2 linked regions of the Oreochromis niloticus genome follow. The protein of the gene in region 1 purifies or fractionates together with the protein of each later gene. This does not show direct contact. Links are inferred from orthologs where the notes say so. Each region holds a gene or a part of one and is shown in the gene's direction. Other genes may lie near its edges. The genes, in order: get3 and ubl4a.

Region 1 (8,759 bases):
GATGAAGAGGAGGAATTTGACATGTTTGCCCAAACCAGAGGCAGCTCTCTGGCTGACCAGAGGAAAAGGTGAGTGTTACTTACTTATGATGGATATAAATAATGTCATCACCCCCTCTCCATTTTCTATGTTAGGGATCTGCATGCCACTAATAACAAGTAGATTTATTAATGTTCTAGATTATGATCATCACAATTATACTTATCAAAACAATACTTTAAGGCCCTGACAATTACAATCTTCCTATCAGAGCTGTTTTTAATTCTTAACCTTAAGCTAAGTTTTGAGTTTTGGACATACTGTAAGCAAATACAATTTATTAGAAACACAGAGCCTTTAACAAAGACCTTTCCAATAAGGAAATCCAGCAGACCTTGTCACCATTTATATTTAACAACTAGTAAATGATTTATAGCAGCAGTCCCCAACCCTTTTTGCACAATGGACCGGTTTAATGTCAAACAATATCTTCACGGACCGGCCTTTAAGGTGTCGCGGATAAATACAACAAAATAAAATGATACGACCAAGACAAAAACTGTGGTATTTTGTAAATATAATAATAAACGCGAATTCGCTGTGTAATTGTGTAACTGTATTAGCAGCGTCCTCCTGAAATGCGCCAACAAGACTGAGAGTAACATCCTCCTCTCTGCCCCTTAATGCTCTCTGGTCGCTATGGTAACATGTATATATTTCTTTCAAAATAAGACACACAACTACAAAACGGGAAAAGACTCAGGGAAACCGAGTTAAGGCCGCAAGCAGGGGTGACATGGGCCACAAGCGGCCCCTGGGCCGCGAGTTTGAAACCCCTGACTCAGAGGAGCCCATCTGGTACCAGCAGCCATGCATTGTTTAAAGTCACTTAAGTCCCCTTTCTCCACCGTTCTGATGCTCGGTTTGAACTTCAGCCCACTTGTCTACACGCGTAAATGCACTGGGTTGCTGCTATGTGATTGGCTGATTAATCAGAATCAGAATCAGAATACTTTATTGATCCCTAGGAGAAATTATTTTTGGTTACAGTGCTCCAGTATAAACAAACAGTAACAAAGACAGACAATACACTAAGTAAGAATAGCACAATATATACATACATATATATACATAAAAGTCACTTATTAATAAATAGCTGAAAAAGGAAGAACATGTGCAAAAAGGGTGTAGCTATTGCAGTAAACAGTGTGTTAAGTGGATGAGTTGTACAGGGAGATGGCCACAGGCAGGAATGATTTCCTGTGTCGTTCAGTGGTGCTTTTCGGTAATCTCAGTCTCTCACTGAACGTGCTCCTGTGACTGACCAGCATGTCATGGAGTGGGTGGGAGGTGTCATCCAACATTGTCTTTATCTTGGACAACATCCGCCTCTCCGACACCACCTTAAGTGAGTCCAGCTCCATCCCCACAACATTACTGGCCTTACGGATCAGTTTATCGAGTCTGTTGGCATCTGCGACCCTCAGCCTGCTCCCCCAGCATGGAACAGCATAGAGGATTGCACTGGCCACAACAGACTCATAGAAAATCCTGAGCATTTTCTGGCAGATGTTGAAGGACCTCAGTCTCTGCCAGAAACATTTAGACATTTACAATAACGAGCAGTTGAACAGGTGTACCTAACAAAGTGTCTGAGTGTATTTTTTATGTACTGTATATGCCTGATCTGTGTGTGGTTGTGTGTGTTCAGTGTTAGGTATGAAGATCCAGGAGCTGTGGAGGGCCTGGCTGGAGCTCTTGATACCAGGCTGCAGGTCACAGGAGGAGGGTGTACAGCAGCAGTAAGATGCAGCTGGTTTTTGTTTGGAGTAATATCCCTGTTTTAATATTACAAATAAATAAAACTCAGGGTCATTTAATTTCTTTTAGATTCCACCAGCGAAAAACTCTATGCAGAATGATGTTGACAAATGGTTATCTTCTGATGTGGTAAGAGAACACGTGTATATATATATATATATATATGTATAGTAAAAACAGGGTGATAACAGCATGACTTAATCTTTATTCTTTGTGTACGTAAAAACAGGAAGAGCAGTCTTCAGTTTGCGAGGGAGTTTCCAGTGAAGGTATGTCTGGTCCTGTCACTTCTTTTGAGTAATGATAATATTTTCAGACACACACAAATATTAAATTATACGTGTCACCATTTCAGAGTTTGATAAGTTCCTGGAGGATCGGGCGAAGGCGGCAGACTACAGCAGCCAGACGATTCTCAATGTGCCATCTTCCACACCCAGACGGCCACCACAATCTAGCCAGCAACAGGATACCTCACATGATCATCTTTTCTCACTCTGAGTGTGTGAATAAGCAAGACGACAGGATGGAGGTCAACACAGGAGCATCACAAACTGAAATATGGTTACATTCACACGTATAGTGTGCCAGGTCGGGTTTTTTCTAAAGGACACACGCACGCGCACACACACACACACACACACACACACACACACACACACACATAGATGAAACCTGACACTACAGAACTGCTAATCAATCAGCTTGTTTCATAAATGCTGTATTTCTCCGTTAATTCTGCTGTTTGTTATCTTTATGTGCTTATACAATTTTATGTGACTGTATTTATATGTAATATTATAACATGGGAGAAAACTGGATGTTTAGTATAATGCAGAAAATATACTTGATATTACACCAAATGTGCCTTTGATCCATAATGCTGATTTTGTGTAGATGAGAATAAATGGGACATTTGCCCCATGAACATTTTTCATGTGGTCTCTTTTTAAAATATTTTACTCCTTAGTCCAGTGATTTACACACCAACTTTATCCAATGAATATTTCATTGATAACCCATTTAAAGTTGGCACTTTGCAAAAGATGTTGAAGTGTGGAAATTTTGGTACGTGACATCTTGCATTAAACCAAATTTCACCATAGTTGTCTTATATTCAGATTGTAAGTTAGTCAAAATATCAGAGTCTTGGGAACTCAAGTGTGCCATACTAAATAGTGTGCAGCTTGTGTGATAAGACACTGAATTCAGTATGTTGTTGTTTAAGAGCCCAAGGATGTCTGGTGTTGGGTACACAGAGTCCCGGAAGCACCTAGAATTGAAAGCATAACTAAACGGCTGAAAGGAAAAGCTAAAAGAGCAATTTTTCATTCTTTGAGCTACAGTCCAGATCTGAAGACCATGTGTGGGCAGTTTGCCATTTGTCTCTGCTGGATTTTGCTATCTTTCCTCCTGGATGTATCTCTGGCCTTTATTTCCAACATTTCAACTCAAAATCAGCATCCAAATGTGACTGTTGCTCAAGACCAGGATGGCACAGGCTGGGATTCACGATTTCATCAGCTGAGAGCCAGTCTTCCATCCTTCTCACACCCAATCCGTCCATACACCCTCATCACAAATGCTGACGACTACCACTACATGCCCAAAGTCAGACATCGCCGGCCTTCTCTCCTCCTGCGTCTTCTGGGATCCTCGTTTGACCCATTTTGGATGTCTGTAGATCGCCCTTCTGAGTCCCCCCAGGGAGTTCGGCCCACCCTCACCACCTTCAAAGAGAAATTTAACCTGTGTGTGTCTCCAGAACTGAGAAAGGCTTCAGCAAAACATCAGCAGAAACTAGAGAAGGAGGCTGCAGAACTGGACCTCAGTTCTCTGCCATCAGATGCTGCCAGTTCAGTCAGAGAATGGCTGGTGCACTCAGCAACATGCAAATTACAGCACCAGTGGGTTGATCTGGGCCCAACCTTCTGGCCACGGTGGCTGCGGCAGACTGACTGTGAAGGGCCAGATGGAGGGCAAAGTTGCTCCTTTCCCAGTGGGATGAACTGCGTGCGAGCTCAAACAACACACATAAAGATTCTGGCTTGGCACTGCATTGAAATCAGAGATGGAGATGATGGCTCCAGAAAATTGAGAGGTGAAAAGCCTGATGGCAGTGCTCAGATGGGGACAGATGAAGCAAGGAAAAGATGTTTATGGAGACAAGTGCCTTATCCTGTGGTGACTGCATGCATGTGTTCATGTAAATGAATGTTTTTATCACTGCAGACCGGCTTTTTTCTGTGCACACTGTGTTTTTTATTATTTTGTTGATTTTCAGTGTTATAGTTGAAATGATCGAACATGGCTACTTTTAATTACAAAGACAATGCCGCTACCTGCTCTTTCATTTTCTCTGCTCTAAACTTTCAACATTTTTATTACAAACTGGTTTAATAAATATTTAAGTAAATATTTTACGTCAGTAAACTGCAATTTCTAAGGCGCTGAGTTTAGTGTAGTTCGTGCTACATTCAGGTTTATTGGAAATTCGTGGATTGTGCATGTTTCTTCCAATTTTTCTTTTTCGCTCTATTTTTGCAATTTCATATTCAAACAGTATCAAACAATTTTGTTTACAGGGAATATTAAAAATTAAAGTGTTTTTGGTAACTCACTGTTGTGTTTGATTGATTGATCATACTTGACAGTATTAATTGAAGATACATACTAATCATTCTAAATAATAAAAATCTACATAAACCTGTTTCTTGCTGACTTCCTTGCAAACTATTCTAACGTACACATGCGCATGAATATAATATGAATAAAATATAAGTGTCAGCACCTATGTGATTCCTTGTCTTCTTCTGTCAAAAATTAATAGTGTCTTCTACGGAAGCGTAGAGCTGCCACCCAGGCAAAAGAAAAATAGAAGTATATCACGTTATAACGTGAAAAGTTTATTGTTCTAACAAGATACTTTTCATGTTTGTACAATATACTATCATGTTTGTACAATATACTTTTCACGTTTGAACAATATAATATCACGTTATTACAATATGCATAAATATCACGTTCGTACAATATATTTATATTGTTCGTACAATATATTTATATTGTACGAACGTGATATTTATATTGTACGAACGTGATAATTATGCATATTGTAATAACGTGATATTATATTGTTCAAACGTCAAAAGTATATTGTACAAACATGATAGTATATTGTACAAATGTGAAAAGTATCTTGTTAGAACAATAAACTTTTCACATTATAACGTGATATACTTCTTTTTTTCTTTTGCCTGGGTGGCAGCTCTACGCTTCCGTAGTCTTCAGTATTAAAACTACCAAATGTACAACCCACCCTGCAGCAGTGTGAAACCTTGCGTGGGTCAAAACTCCGAGGAGCAGTGAATGCATCAACTGTGGATACGTCTTTGCGTAACTCCTGAGCTGTACGTCGCTGACTGTACACATACAAGATGGCAGCTTTGGTGGAAGACGAATTTGAAGATGCGCCCGATGTGGAGCCGTTAGAACCAACTCTGAAGAATATCATCGAGCAGAAATCTTTGAAATGGATATTTGTGGGTGGGAAGGGTGGCGTTGGTAAAACGACATGTAGGTAAGTTCATTAAAAATGCTAAATTGCCTCCGGATACTGACTCGGTTTGAGCGGCTGGCTAGCATTAGCCGTTACCATAAGTTGACGTGGATCATTGTCCGAAAATGAATTGCGTGGGTAATTTTTCCCACGGCGAGATTAGACTGGTGTTAAATTTCTACCTAAATACGCGCTGGCATCAAAGAAAAGTGACTGTTATGTTTTAGATTTGAGTAAGGAGTCCTTTCGCCGGGCAGTTTGGTAGCTGTGAAGCGCAGTCAGCAGCTAACGTTAGCAGCTGACACATGGATTCACGACTTTCTCAACACCTTCAGTAATCACCGTATAAGCCACCATCAATAACCCGCTGCTGATATTATCAGTTCTTTTACTTCACCCAGAGTTAAAGGAGACTCCAGAGTTAGGCTGTCAAGCCCTTATTATCATATCTTTATTCATAACAAGAAGAAAAAAAATATGAATAAATACGATTCCAAATGAACGTGGATCTAGTCTGTCTGCAGTGGACTTATTTCAAACAAGATAACCAACAAAAATCTAATTAACGTGTCAAACAAATATGTACATTACACCAGAGCAGCCACGATAATATTGCACATAGATTAACCACTGTCGCATCCGCTATCACTTAAGTTACAGTATCTACTGTGTTTCATTTGGAATATAATTGCATGCAAAAGTTGTGTTCATCAAAGTAACTGGGGTAAGGTAATGTTCACAAAGTGGAAATGAATTAGATTTTTACTTTGTGCTTTACACGGCATGCATGCACATAAACGATTAAGAATTAAAAACGTTGCGGATCGCATTGTTAGTCAGTTGCACAGCATTTCTTACATGCTTACATTGGGCACGAAATAATCTTAACAGGCTCCAGGCTCTTTAAACATAAACCTGTCCTCTTTCCATGTCCTTCTGACAGCTGTAGTTTGGCTGTCCAGCTGGCGGCTGTTCGGGAGAGTGTGCTCATCATTTCCACAGATCCTGCCCATAACATCTCTGATGCTTTTGACCAGAAGTTCTCAAAGGTACCCACTAAGGTTAAGGGCTATGACAACCTCTTTGCAATGGTGAGTATATGTGTACACTTAACAGCTATTAAAGGTTACAAGTGAGAGGTGTTGCTTGATGAGATTAAAAATTGAACTCAAATGTTTGCAAATATATATTTTTTGAGAAGCATGTTATTAATAATATTAATAACATTGATGAAGTTTCTGAAACGACAATGAGCAAGCATCCACAGTACAAGGATTTTCTTATCCACATTTTCATCCTTGCATCATATTAAAGTCTAACGTTTAGACAGAGTTTAAAAAGCACAGAGGGTTTGTTCATTCTGTTTTTGGAAAATAACATTTAGTGCATGAGATCACCATCTTTTCAGAGTCATGAGGCTAGCCAGTTCCACATGTGAGTCTCACAAGCACCATTGTGTAACAAACTCAATCACTGGAGGGCATAAAAACATTTGCAATCTATTTGAAGTGTGCTGATCTTAGAATTTGGGCATGTGTATACAGGAGATTGACCCGAGCCTGGGTGTGGCAGAGCTGCCTGATGAGTTCTTCGAGGAGGACAACATGCTCAGCATGGGCAAGAAGATGATGCAGGAAGCCATGAGCGCCTTCCCCGGCATCGATGAGGCTATGAGCTATGCAGAGGTCATGAGGTAGTTTTGTATTTGAGTTTTCCTGCAGCATGTCTGAAGTTTTAAGGACAGTTAGTGGGTGTTATACTTACCACTGTTGTTTGCCTGTATCTCAGATTAGTGAAGGGAATGAACTTCTCAGTGGTGGTCTTTGACACTGCCCCTACTGGCCACACACTGCGACTGCTTAACTTTCCCACCATAGTGGAGCGAGGTCTAGGCCGCCTCATGCAGATCAAGAACCAGATTAGCCCTTTCATCTCTCAGGTGGGTGCTGAGATGAGCAAATCAGTTCAAACCATTTTCAGGATTCTGCACATAAAATATGATCTCTGATTAAATATATGCACTTTGTTGGCCTTTCTCTTTCTCCAGTGTTTTCTCTTTCTCTCTTCTCTTGTTTTCACTCACACTGTCCATCTCTTTTGCTGTTTCTAGATGTGTAATATGCTTGGTCTGGGTGATATGAACGCAGACCAGCTGGCCTCAAAGCTTGAAGAAACCCTGCCAGTCATTCGCTCAGTTAGTGAGCAGTTCAAAGACCCTGTAAGTCACATTTGTATATTCTTATACAACTTTGAGATTTATATAGTACTAGCTTACTATTGATTTGATGATTGAGGGGAGAATTCACTGCCTTTTAACAGGAAGAGCCCTCTCTGGTGGAGATCAGGTTAAGGGAGGGTGCTCCTCTCTGATTTTATTATGTATATAAAAATATGTGTTTTCTAGTACTCTCACATTTGGGGTCAACTGAAAGCTTTTCAGAGAGCTTTTAGAACAACTTGATAAAAGAAAATTACAGTCGTCTAGCCTAAAAATAATAATGATGCCTGGTTGGTTTTTTTTTTCTTTTTTTTTTCCTTTTTTCTCTTCAGCCAGTTCCTAATTTTGGCAGTATTGTACAGATGAAACAGATGCAACATCATTGTCAATTAAAGATGTAATTGCTTTAATGGTTATAGTCTCCACCCACCCATGATGAATAAGCCTTTTCACACTACACTTCAGTCATATACTGTTCTAATGAGGTGCTGTGGTAGCTACATGCACACCCTCTGTAACAAGTCTTATCTGATGACAGAAGAAATTGTAGCTGGTTCGAGTGTCAATAGTGTGTGTGGATACAAAAGAGTTTTTGGAGTGACTCACTGTGCACAGCAGCCTGTTGCACATGCATGTATCCCTCTTATCAAGCCCTCTTTATACTATTTTGTCATTAGGACAAAAGAAGTTTCGACAACAGTTTCACCTTTTTATTATTTTTTTTGAAGTTGTAACTCCACCCCTGTTGAGCCCTAGTAGCTGGTCTGTTTTACTTGATTGCTTTAGATTTTGTTATTCCTTTTGATTTTGTTCTTTGATGGGAACTCATCAGCCTGTTTAGACAAAATATTTAATATAAAAAACGAATTCAGTATTTGGAGCAAATTTGAGCTTCATCTTGTCATATTAATGGTTTTTATGTATGTGTGTTGTAACGCACCTTCCTCTCACCCTTCAGGAGCAGACCACCTTCATCTGTGTGTGTATTGCTGAATTTCTGTCACTTTATGAGACAGAGCGGCTGATTCAGGAACTGGCTAAGTGCCGCATCGACACGCACAACATCATTGTCAACCAGCTCGTTTTTCCTGATGCAGACAGGCCGTGTAAAATGTGTGAAGCCCGCCATAAAATTCAGTCGAAATATTTAGACCAGGTATGAATCAGGAGAAATGGGAAAGT
Region 2 (8,979 bases), on another chromosome or scaffold:
GCAGCTATCACACTCACAGTCCGAATGTCCTCTCTGAAGACAAGCAAGTATTACAAAATAAAACTATCAATAAGACTATCAATATACATATATATATATATATATGAATGTGCTTTTTCATTATATGTGCAGAAATTTCTTTACAGCATCATCTGAAGGAGCTTTTTTTCCTTCTTACCCCCACAGAGCCTTTTCTCCAAACCACTGTCTCTCAGAGAGCTTAGAAAGAACTACCTGTTCTTCCTGCTCTTGCCCCTTTTCAGTCACTTTCACCTGTCAAATGTAATGAAAAAAGAGGTAATGGTGATGAGCGCAACGCACCAAAGTAAATTATCACCATCATAAAGTCATTTCCGCCACTGCTTTGACATTTCTGTCATCCAGGCTGTAAATCTTTTCCTCAGAAAGCCCCCCTTGATCTGCGCAGCAGGATGAGAGCAGAAAACTTTACCTGGCCTTTGCTGATGATATAAAAAGTGTCTCCTGTGGCCCCTTGTCGAATGATGTAGTCGCCGTCGGCGTAATGTGTCTGTGGAAGACAAATGAAAACCGACAGCGGTGTGACCAGTGGAAAAACATCAATAAAACAAAGAAGGGTTCATCCAGAGAGCTTTCCTTGCACTTATACAGGCACTGCATGTAAACATTCACCTCATCCATTAGCTGGATACACCAGTGTGCTTCACAGTTAAATAACTTCAAGTGTACCTCTTCCATGAGATCCGACATTTTCATGAGGACATCTGCTGGGAGCGACTGGAGGAAGGGAATGCTGCACACAGATACAAACAAAAAGCACTGGATATCATCCGCAATAGCTCATGTAGGTGCATGAGGACAATGAGCAGATACCGTGCTCAGAGGTAAAAGCCTACATGGCCCATCAAAGCAGCTTTTTGGAGCTGCTTCATGTGCATCAGTCTGATTTTCACCTGCTAAGAAGCTCCACTGAATGGGAAAGGTGCTTGAGACCACTCTGCATGAGTATGGTCTGGTAGCTGTTGCGATCCACAACCCACAGCCTGCTGTCCGTTCGTGCTGCAGATCAAAAGACAGAGACAGAGGAAGACGCTGTGTCAGTGACAGACGAGTGAAAGCACTATCGAGACTCACGCTGCCTGTGATGGATGTGGACGTGCAGCCAGTAAGTAGGCCAGGATTTCATTAGAAATGCTTACCGTGTATCGTAAAAACTAAAAATACTTGTTTTCCTCACAGAGGTCAGTAGATATCAATCAAATCTAATTTCCTTCAGCCATCATCACCATCTTTCTTTGTAATAGAGCTTGAAAGAGAGTGTCGTTAATTAATAATGACCAGTATTGATTGATTCACTGAACCTTCCTGCAAACGGAAGACGACGTCCCCTCCAGACAGTCTAATAAGATCGAGCATCTGATTATTGCGGTGCAGTCCTTATCTCAGTTCCCCGTTTTTGGATACAAACCAAACTTTGTCGCTTTACCATCGTATGACACACGGCGTACAGCCATTGGTCCTTAATTCAATCTCCTACGCCAGGTATGATGGGAAGAAAAGTAATTTCAGGTCAGGAAGGAGATAAATGCAACAGGCCTTAAATGGATTGAAAAAAAGAGGGTACATGGAACAAGGGGGAGCAGCGAGTTTTGTTACCAGAGAGCAGACAAATGTAGAACAGTGAATTGGAAAGGCTGCCTGGTTACAGGATAACGAAAGGAGTTTTTAAAAAAAGGGGAGGAATGGGATGCTTTTGGGACCAAACAAGACAAAACAGACAGATTTTTCAATTTAAACTGATCCGGCCATTTTCACAGCCTATTTATTTGTGAAACCAGGTCAGACACACGCAGCCACGACTGAAAAGGTTTTCCCACAGGACTCTGTGATCGGATCCTCAAAGGAAATGATAGCACAGTTTCTGCTTTTAAGAGGGAAAAAAAATCATGTTTTTACACCAGAAAAGCACAGATGAGAGGTTGTAACGCAGCGGTCATTGAATCGAGATCGTTTACAAGAAGATTATTTTTAAATGTTTGCAAGATGCTGAGATGCTGGATTGTAGGGAGGAGATGTGGCGCTTCAGGCAGCCGTGTTAAGCGGAAAAAGCCGAGGATGCTTTAAATTCCTCACATCCGTTAGAAAGCCATGCGAAGCTGTTGTAAGATCTCAGAGGGTCTTTTGATTTTGAATTCAACAGGCATCTTTTGTCCGAGGCCACAGCCAGAAATCTTACCGCTTGCGAAATTCGCTTAAACTAGAATTATTTATATCCTCGCCGAATCAAAGTTAATCACAGAGAAATTCTTCAGGTTGACAGCTCTCCTGTGACATCTGAGCGCAATTATAAAATAAGGAAGCCGATGCAAAGCTTTGATTTACCTGACACAGAGTAGGTGTGGGTGCAGTTGTAAAGGAGCGCTAGCTCTCCAAACAAGTCTTCTGGTTCAACTGTGAGCAGCTTCAGTCCATCTTTCATCATTTCCAGCCTCCCTTCTGCGAATAAACAAACACTGGGTGAAGGACGACGCAGAGAAATGCGTTTTATGTCAGATAATGTACAGACTGAGAGAGATGTACAGCACAAACAACAGAAAGGCAAGGAGACCGGAGATAAACAGCCGCTCCGTCTCCTCGGGCTCAAGCTGACATTTCAACCCAAACTAGAAATGTGTTGCTCCACATGCTGTCACTTTATTGCACTTCTATTTGCTTCTATTTATCAGTACAAAAATTTTAATATAAAGATATGATCAAGCTCATCATTTAATCAGTCTGTCCTTAAGCATCTGACATCTCAAGGAAGCCTTAATAAATATCCTCGTGTGTGATTAATAGCGGCCATTGCAAGAGGAAAAAAGGATTTACCTTCCAAAACGTAAGCCTGAGCCCCAGCGGTCCCCTCCTGAATAACATAGCAGCCTTGATTGATGGTGGTGGAATGCATGCAGGCGATGATGGCTCTGATTTCTCCTTCATCAAGGTGCTTCAGCAAGTCGTTTCTCAGAAATGATGCCCGAATCAGCCTCTGGGACCTGAGGACATGAGGAAACGATATGAAATTTGCACGTGAGGATGAGTTATTAAACAGTGTCAAATACTTGAGCGTCTGACAATGAATAAAAAAAAAGCATTGGTTCATCATGAGTCATGCAGTCAGCAGTCAGTGAGCCTTGAACATGCATGAGTGTGATTTTTCAATCTGAGCAGGTGTAGCTCTGAAGGGAACACTGTGTGCTCTTACTCGTGGCTTTTGTCACAGCTTCTCTGTGAAACCAAGGCGAGAGTCACTGGGTCCAGAGTGAGGGGCTCACAAATCACCGTCTGCCTTCTGGGTCTCTTGTTGTCATCAGTTTGACCTGAGGTAGAAGCAAAAAAATAAAGAATAAAAAAGTCAAGGAAATCAAATAGAACTCTATATCAGTCCTAATAAGCTCTGCAATTATTAAAACAGCACAAAACTGCCTACATGCACTGACTGCAGAGGCTCCTGGGAGGGAGACAGTGGTTCTGTAGCGGTCTAGTTCTTCCTGCAGCCTCCGGATGAGTTCATCCTTCGTGTCCAGCTCAAGCTCCAGCTCATCTATCAGCGTGTCCCTCTGGCGAAGCTCCTCAATCTTTAGTTGCAAGGCAAACTGGAGGTCCCGAAGTGTACCCATCACCTGCAAACACTAGCAGACTTCATCTATGCTTTTGACAAAGAGCCATCCATAGAGTATATACATTCCTACAGCTGCTATGCAGCGTGGATCTATCTACAACAAACTTGACCTCTGTATGATTTTGATCTACACCTCTCTTTATTATTTAGCTAATCTGTCCAGGTGTAATGGCTTCTACCTGGATAAGAGCATAGATCCACCTGTTTTGGGCTTCTTGTACATTTTCACACCTATACGAGTGTTCATATGTTTACGAGCACATTAATGTTCACTGCAAATGAGTCACAGGTAAGGTATAGCCCCACATTGCAAGCATTAGCTCTAGTCTGTTGTTCTGCATCTCTATACATAATTCAAGCCACATTAAGAGAAAATACAAAGAAAGTAGAAATGAAATGCTTACACAGTAAATGTTAGTACAAACTTCCTACTGAGTCCCACACAAAAGTCCTAACAGGAATAAAAACATGAAAATAACATTGGATTTTCCATGTGACTGTTAGGCGTGGCTGATGCTTTCACGATGATTTTTTCTGTTTTTTTAATCTTTGCTGATTTTAGCTGTCATGTTTCTAATTGACTGTCTGTTAGCACAGATGAGGCTGTATCCGCAAACTGTATTAATGCTGTGCGATATTTCACACCATAAACAAACAAACAAACAAATGAACACAAACATCACTTACCACACGCAGCCTGTATGGCGTTATGGGGTCTATTTCACCGGCGTGTTTTGGCCTGGTTTGGCTGCAGACTGTTCACTCGACAGGTGCACATCCCGTCTGTAAGTGCCCAGCTGAAGGATGCTCTTCTTTCTTGCTCGCGGCTGGCCGGGGCTGGGCACAGACAGCAGGCAATCACATGACCCACACGGTGGAAACCATGCGGGGAGGGTGAGATGAGAAACGTGTGGATCGGATCCCATCTGGGTCACGGGGTCCTCAGGGTGTTCCGGAGCCTTGGGAGTAGGTGGGGATCCGGCAAACTGTGCAATGCATGTTAATGATTGTATGCCCAACCGATCATGAAGCAGGTTAAAGGCTGGCCGTGTGCACCGATCAAAGATTTATTCGTTTTCTCTCCATAGCAGCTGTGCAGCCATCCAAATATAATTTTACCTTATATCATGTTTTTTTTTCTCTCAGTAAAAGGCTTGATATGTATTTGATGTAGGTGCGTAAAGTAACAAAATAAATGTTCCTCTGCAATTGGACGGCAAGTGGTTTTCCGATAACAACAGTTTCAAACTACATGTGATGATAAGTTATGGTAACAGCTCTATAATGTTGCAATAATGTTAGCCATTAATAGGAAAATCAGTAATAAGTTACTGCGTTCATCACGACACTAGTAAAAACACGCTAGAGCCATGCAGCGTTAGTCCACTTTATTTAAACACAATTTCCGTGCGTGTTATTTAAACACACACAAAAATGAAAAAATGAAGAAAAAAAACTAGCCCTAGTGTACCATTGTTGATAATATTACTAATAGCCGCGTTATAAGTCAAATCTGTAAGCCTTTTTTTGAGTTTTCCCATCCTTTTTTTTCCTTTTAATATTCAACTGCGGCATAATTAGGAGAAAATAAATGGATTATTCTTTGTTTTTGTTGTTATGACACTTTCCTCTGAGGGCTGGCGTAGCTGCCATGCCACACTCCGGCCAGCGCGCGGCGGTAGTGGGATGCGGGAGAAGAAAATGGGCCGTTGGCAAGCAAAGAATCGCGAGCTGATAAAGTAGCTGTACTGTGAAGCAGCACACTCCGAGACGTTTTGTTACTTCATCTTTATTGTTGTGTAATTTTTTTGTTTTTTTAAAGCATATTCAAAAATGATCCTCACGGTGAAACCGCTTCAAGGAAAAGAGTGCAGCGTACAGGTGAGTGAAGTACCGCTGCGCTAGCTCACCGCCTCATGCTAACTGCGATAGCAGCTAGTAGTTTAGTCGGGCCAGCATTGGCATGTCACATGCCGAGCTACCTTCAGAAAAACGGCCACACATATGTTTCTTTTAAAATAATAAAATAGCCTGTCAAAAATACTGGGATTCAGTGCTACACACTGTAGCCTAAACTAGTCGGTTGTATGGGCATGTCTCCGCAGAGTCATTAATTTGGCTGGCGTGCTAGCTAAATCCTGGATAAGATGTTGCATACAATCTTCCCTGACAACAGCTGACTAGTAGCATTTGAAGTCGGTCTTTGTGGTTTCGGGGAAAGAAAAAAAAGGGAAGTCCTATCTGAGGGAAACAGCTTTTGGTGCAGTAAGACCAATATAGCTGTCAGTTAGCCTTAGCCACAGTCTGTCTCTCACAAAGCTAATTTTTTTTTAAATATTATAAAGCACAAACTGGACCTTTACTTGGAGACATAAGCAAAGGCCCCTGAATTAAAGAGAATATTAGCGTGTGGCAGCCACTATTTTAACATGACCAGGTTTTAAGGAAATATGCAGGCAGTCAAAAGCATTTTATTACGTGGGGAAGTATTTCCCCAAGTGGGGAAGTATTTCTAAAATCGTTTAAAAATTCTGTGTTCAGCAGAGAAGTGGTTCCATGCACAACATCTGTGCCATAACAGTGATTACAGCCATTTCGTTTAAAATGTTAGCAAGAGTACACTTTTTTTTTTTTTTTTTGAGAAATGGGGCTCTACAAATGCCAGTACAAACCGGGAATGTCACTTGTACATATATTTAACATTAATATCTGGATAATGTAAAGGTAGGAGTTATTTGAGAAAGATTTTTAAATGATAACTTAATTTATCAAGGAACAAACTTTCCAAAGCTCACCCAGTGTGAAAAAGGAATTGCCCCCTAAACCGAATAATTGGTTGTGCCACACCTGGCAGCAAGAACTGCAATCAAACTGGCAATGTGACTTTCATGTTGCTGTGGAGGGAATCTTGGTCCACTGTCCTTTACAATATTGTCCTAACTCAGCCTCATTGCAGGGTTTTCCAGTTTCAGTGTACTGTTAAAAGTCATCCCGAAATATTTTAATTGAATTTAAGTCTGGACTTTGACAAGGGAACTCTAAAACTTTTATGTTAGTTATTGAGCCATTCAAGGGCAGATTGCTGCTGTGTTTTTGGTCACTATCCTGTTGCATAACCCAAGGGCATTTGAGTGTTAGAGGACAAACTAGTGGCTCCTGAAGGATGGAGCAGAATTCATGGTTCCATGAATTACAGGAAGTCTTCCAGGTCCCGAAACAGCAAAGCAGCCCTACACCATCACACTACCTCCACTGTGTTTGACTGCTGGTGTGATGTTCTTTTTATGAAATGCTGTTAGTTTTACACCAGATGTAACACAGAACTCAAACTCTTCAAAAAGTCCAGATTTTTCTTGTCAGTCTAAAAAATATTTCCAAAAGGTTCTGGGGATCATCAAGATGCTTTTTGGCAAATGTGAGACAGGCCTTTGTGTGTGTGCGTGTGTGTGTTGTTTTGTTCCAAATATGCCAAAAAACAAGAAATCAAGAATAGGGCAATTACTCTTTTACAGCACTGTGTGCTGTGTAATTTAAACACTGTTCAGCTGCACAGACAGAAAACAGTGTCATGCTCTTAAATTACACATGTACTACATGATTGGGTTGTTTTTCTTCCAGGTGACTGAAGACGAAAAGGTCTCCACAGTGAAGGAGCTTGTGTCTGAACGTCTCAACATACCAGCAAACCAGCAACGGTTACTCTACAAAGGGAAAGCTCTCGCAGGTAGATGTGCCAACAGCGACATGTTTGATGGCAGCATTTGTTAATACTTTTATGCATGCGTCATATGTAAATTTTTAATGCAACACATTGTAACACTCTCCCTCAGATGAACACAGACTGAGTGATTACTCTATTGGTCCTGAGGCTAAATTGAATCTGGTAATCCGTCCCATGGGAGAGAGGACTGCAGCTTCAGGAACAGCAGCACCAGGCGGTGGTGGTAGCTGTAGCAGCACCAGCAGCGGAAGCAGCACACATGGAGGAGTGTGGCAGACCGTCTCCACTATACTTGCTAGACACTTTAGTCCGGCAGATGCAGCAAAAGTTCATGAACAGCTTATTAAGGTATTTAAATGCAGCGTCATTTTTTTTTTTTTTTCTTCAGACAAGTTGACAGGTGCGGATATTTAATAAATCTAAAATATTAAAGTTGAAAGGGCCAGTTATTGATGATTTATGAACATGTAGTGCTAATGGTGAGATACTGATTTAATTTCTGGAAATCTATTATTAATAATTACTACAATATTTGTATAATGCTTTTATCTTTTAATGAGAACTGTTTTTACTGTAGAAAGTGGGTGTACTGACAGCTCTTGAGTTTGTTAGTTGTTCAGCTCCTATCCATCCAACTGTGCTCACTAATTAGAAGCTACATTCAGCTGCTCCCTCATTCACGAGGCGTTGCCACAGCAGGTAGCTCTGCATGCCTTCCCAACGCAACCCCAAAGGGATTCATGTCTCCTCCTTTCGCTTGTTAGGCAAATATGTAAACCACTAAACTATGGAGCCACTAATTATGCTGGGCTAAATAATTAATTGAACAACCCAGACCAGTAGTAGCCAGACGTGTGTGTGTGTGTATTTGAAGGGTTGGGGGGGGGATGAAGCAAAATCTGGTTTGGCCTTTTGCTGCCAAATTCTGTTGTTATCCTGAAATTGTTGAATTATTTGCGTGCAAACAGCATTACAAAACAAACTGCCAAAAGTGCAAATTAGCTTACCTCCACTTACGTCCACACTTTTTGGACTTAACAAACTCCTTTTAAAAGCAACAAAAATGTTTCTGAAGGTCATGCCTCCAGTCCTCCATGCATTATTTCTCAGCCAGAACGTGTTGTAAATAAATGAACTGAAATGTTTTTAACCTGCTGTTTTTCAATATGTTTTTTTTTTGCTTTCTTTCTTTTCTCAAGGACTATGAACGTTCCCTTCGACAGCTTAGCCTCGATGACATTGAGCGCTTAGCGGGGAGGTTGCTTCATCCGGAGGGCGAGGGCATGGACACCTCATACATGGACTAAGAATGCATAGCTTGAAGCTGATTTTTTCCGATTGTTGTTTGAGAGACGCTCAGTGCTTTGAGATGCATACGGTGTTTAGAGTGTTAGGCTGTGGAAAATACAATGCCATTTTTCTTACAGAGAGCCCCAGGGTGAGCATGGATAACACTGACTGTTTGTCTCAGCAATAGGGCTTTCTTATCTTGGATGAGAAAACTTGGCATCTTGGAATTGGCCCTTGTCATTGGTGGCACAGTAACCTCGACCTGATCACATAATGTCTGAATACAAAGGAGTCCATTTATGAAGCTATCTTCACATGATCTCTGGCT

What was found.
Region 2: the proteins of get3 (region 1) and ubl4a purify together in Homo sapiens (affinity purification with mass spectrometry; 4 studies listed by BioGRID and IntAct, with this or other methods). This does not show direct contact. The link is inferred for Oreochromis niloticus from reciprocal best matches to the Homo sapiens genes GET3 and UBL4A.

The regions. Positions count from the first base shown.
Region 1 is NC_031971.2:34,349,574-34,358,332, reverse strand, and holds the start of get3 (ATPase GET3), read left to right. Parts: upstream 1-5,206; 5' UTR 5,207-5,237; coding exon 5,238-5,380; intron 5,381-6,302; coding exon 6,303-6,450; intron 6,451-6,903; coding exon 6,904-7,052; intron 7,053-7,147; coding exon 7,148-7,298; intron 7,299-7,469; coding exon 7,470-7,577; intron 7,578-8,535; coding exon 8,536-8,733; intron 8,734-8,759. Other genes in the region: target of Myb protein 1, read left to right, coding at 2-68, 1,691-1,781, 1,870-1,929, 2,030-2,069, 2,156-2,301; noggin-2-like, read left to right, coding at 3,163-4,014.
Region 2 is NC_031977.2:13,690,817-13,699,795, reverse strand, and holds the start of ubl4a (ubiquitin-like protein 4A), read left to right. Parts: upstream 1-5,310; 5' UTR 5,311-5,473; coding exon 5,474-5,521; intron 5,522-7,258; coding exon 7,259-7,364; intron 7,365-7,470; coding exon 7,471-7,709; intron 7,710-8,560; coding exon 8,561-8,668; 3' UTR 8,669-8,979. Other genes in the region: prkg1l (cGMP-dependent protein kinase 1), read right to left, coding at 1-33, 179-273, 452-529, 652-772, 933-1,038, 2,362-2,475, 2,848-3,014, 3,224-3,338 and 1 more. UniProt on the Homo sapiens protein: As part of a cytosolic protein quality control complex, the BAG6/BAT3 complex, maintains misfolded and hydrophobic patches-containing proteins in a soluble state and participates in their proper delivery to the endoplasmic reticulum or alternatively can promote their sorting to the proteasome where they undergo degradation.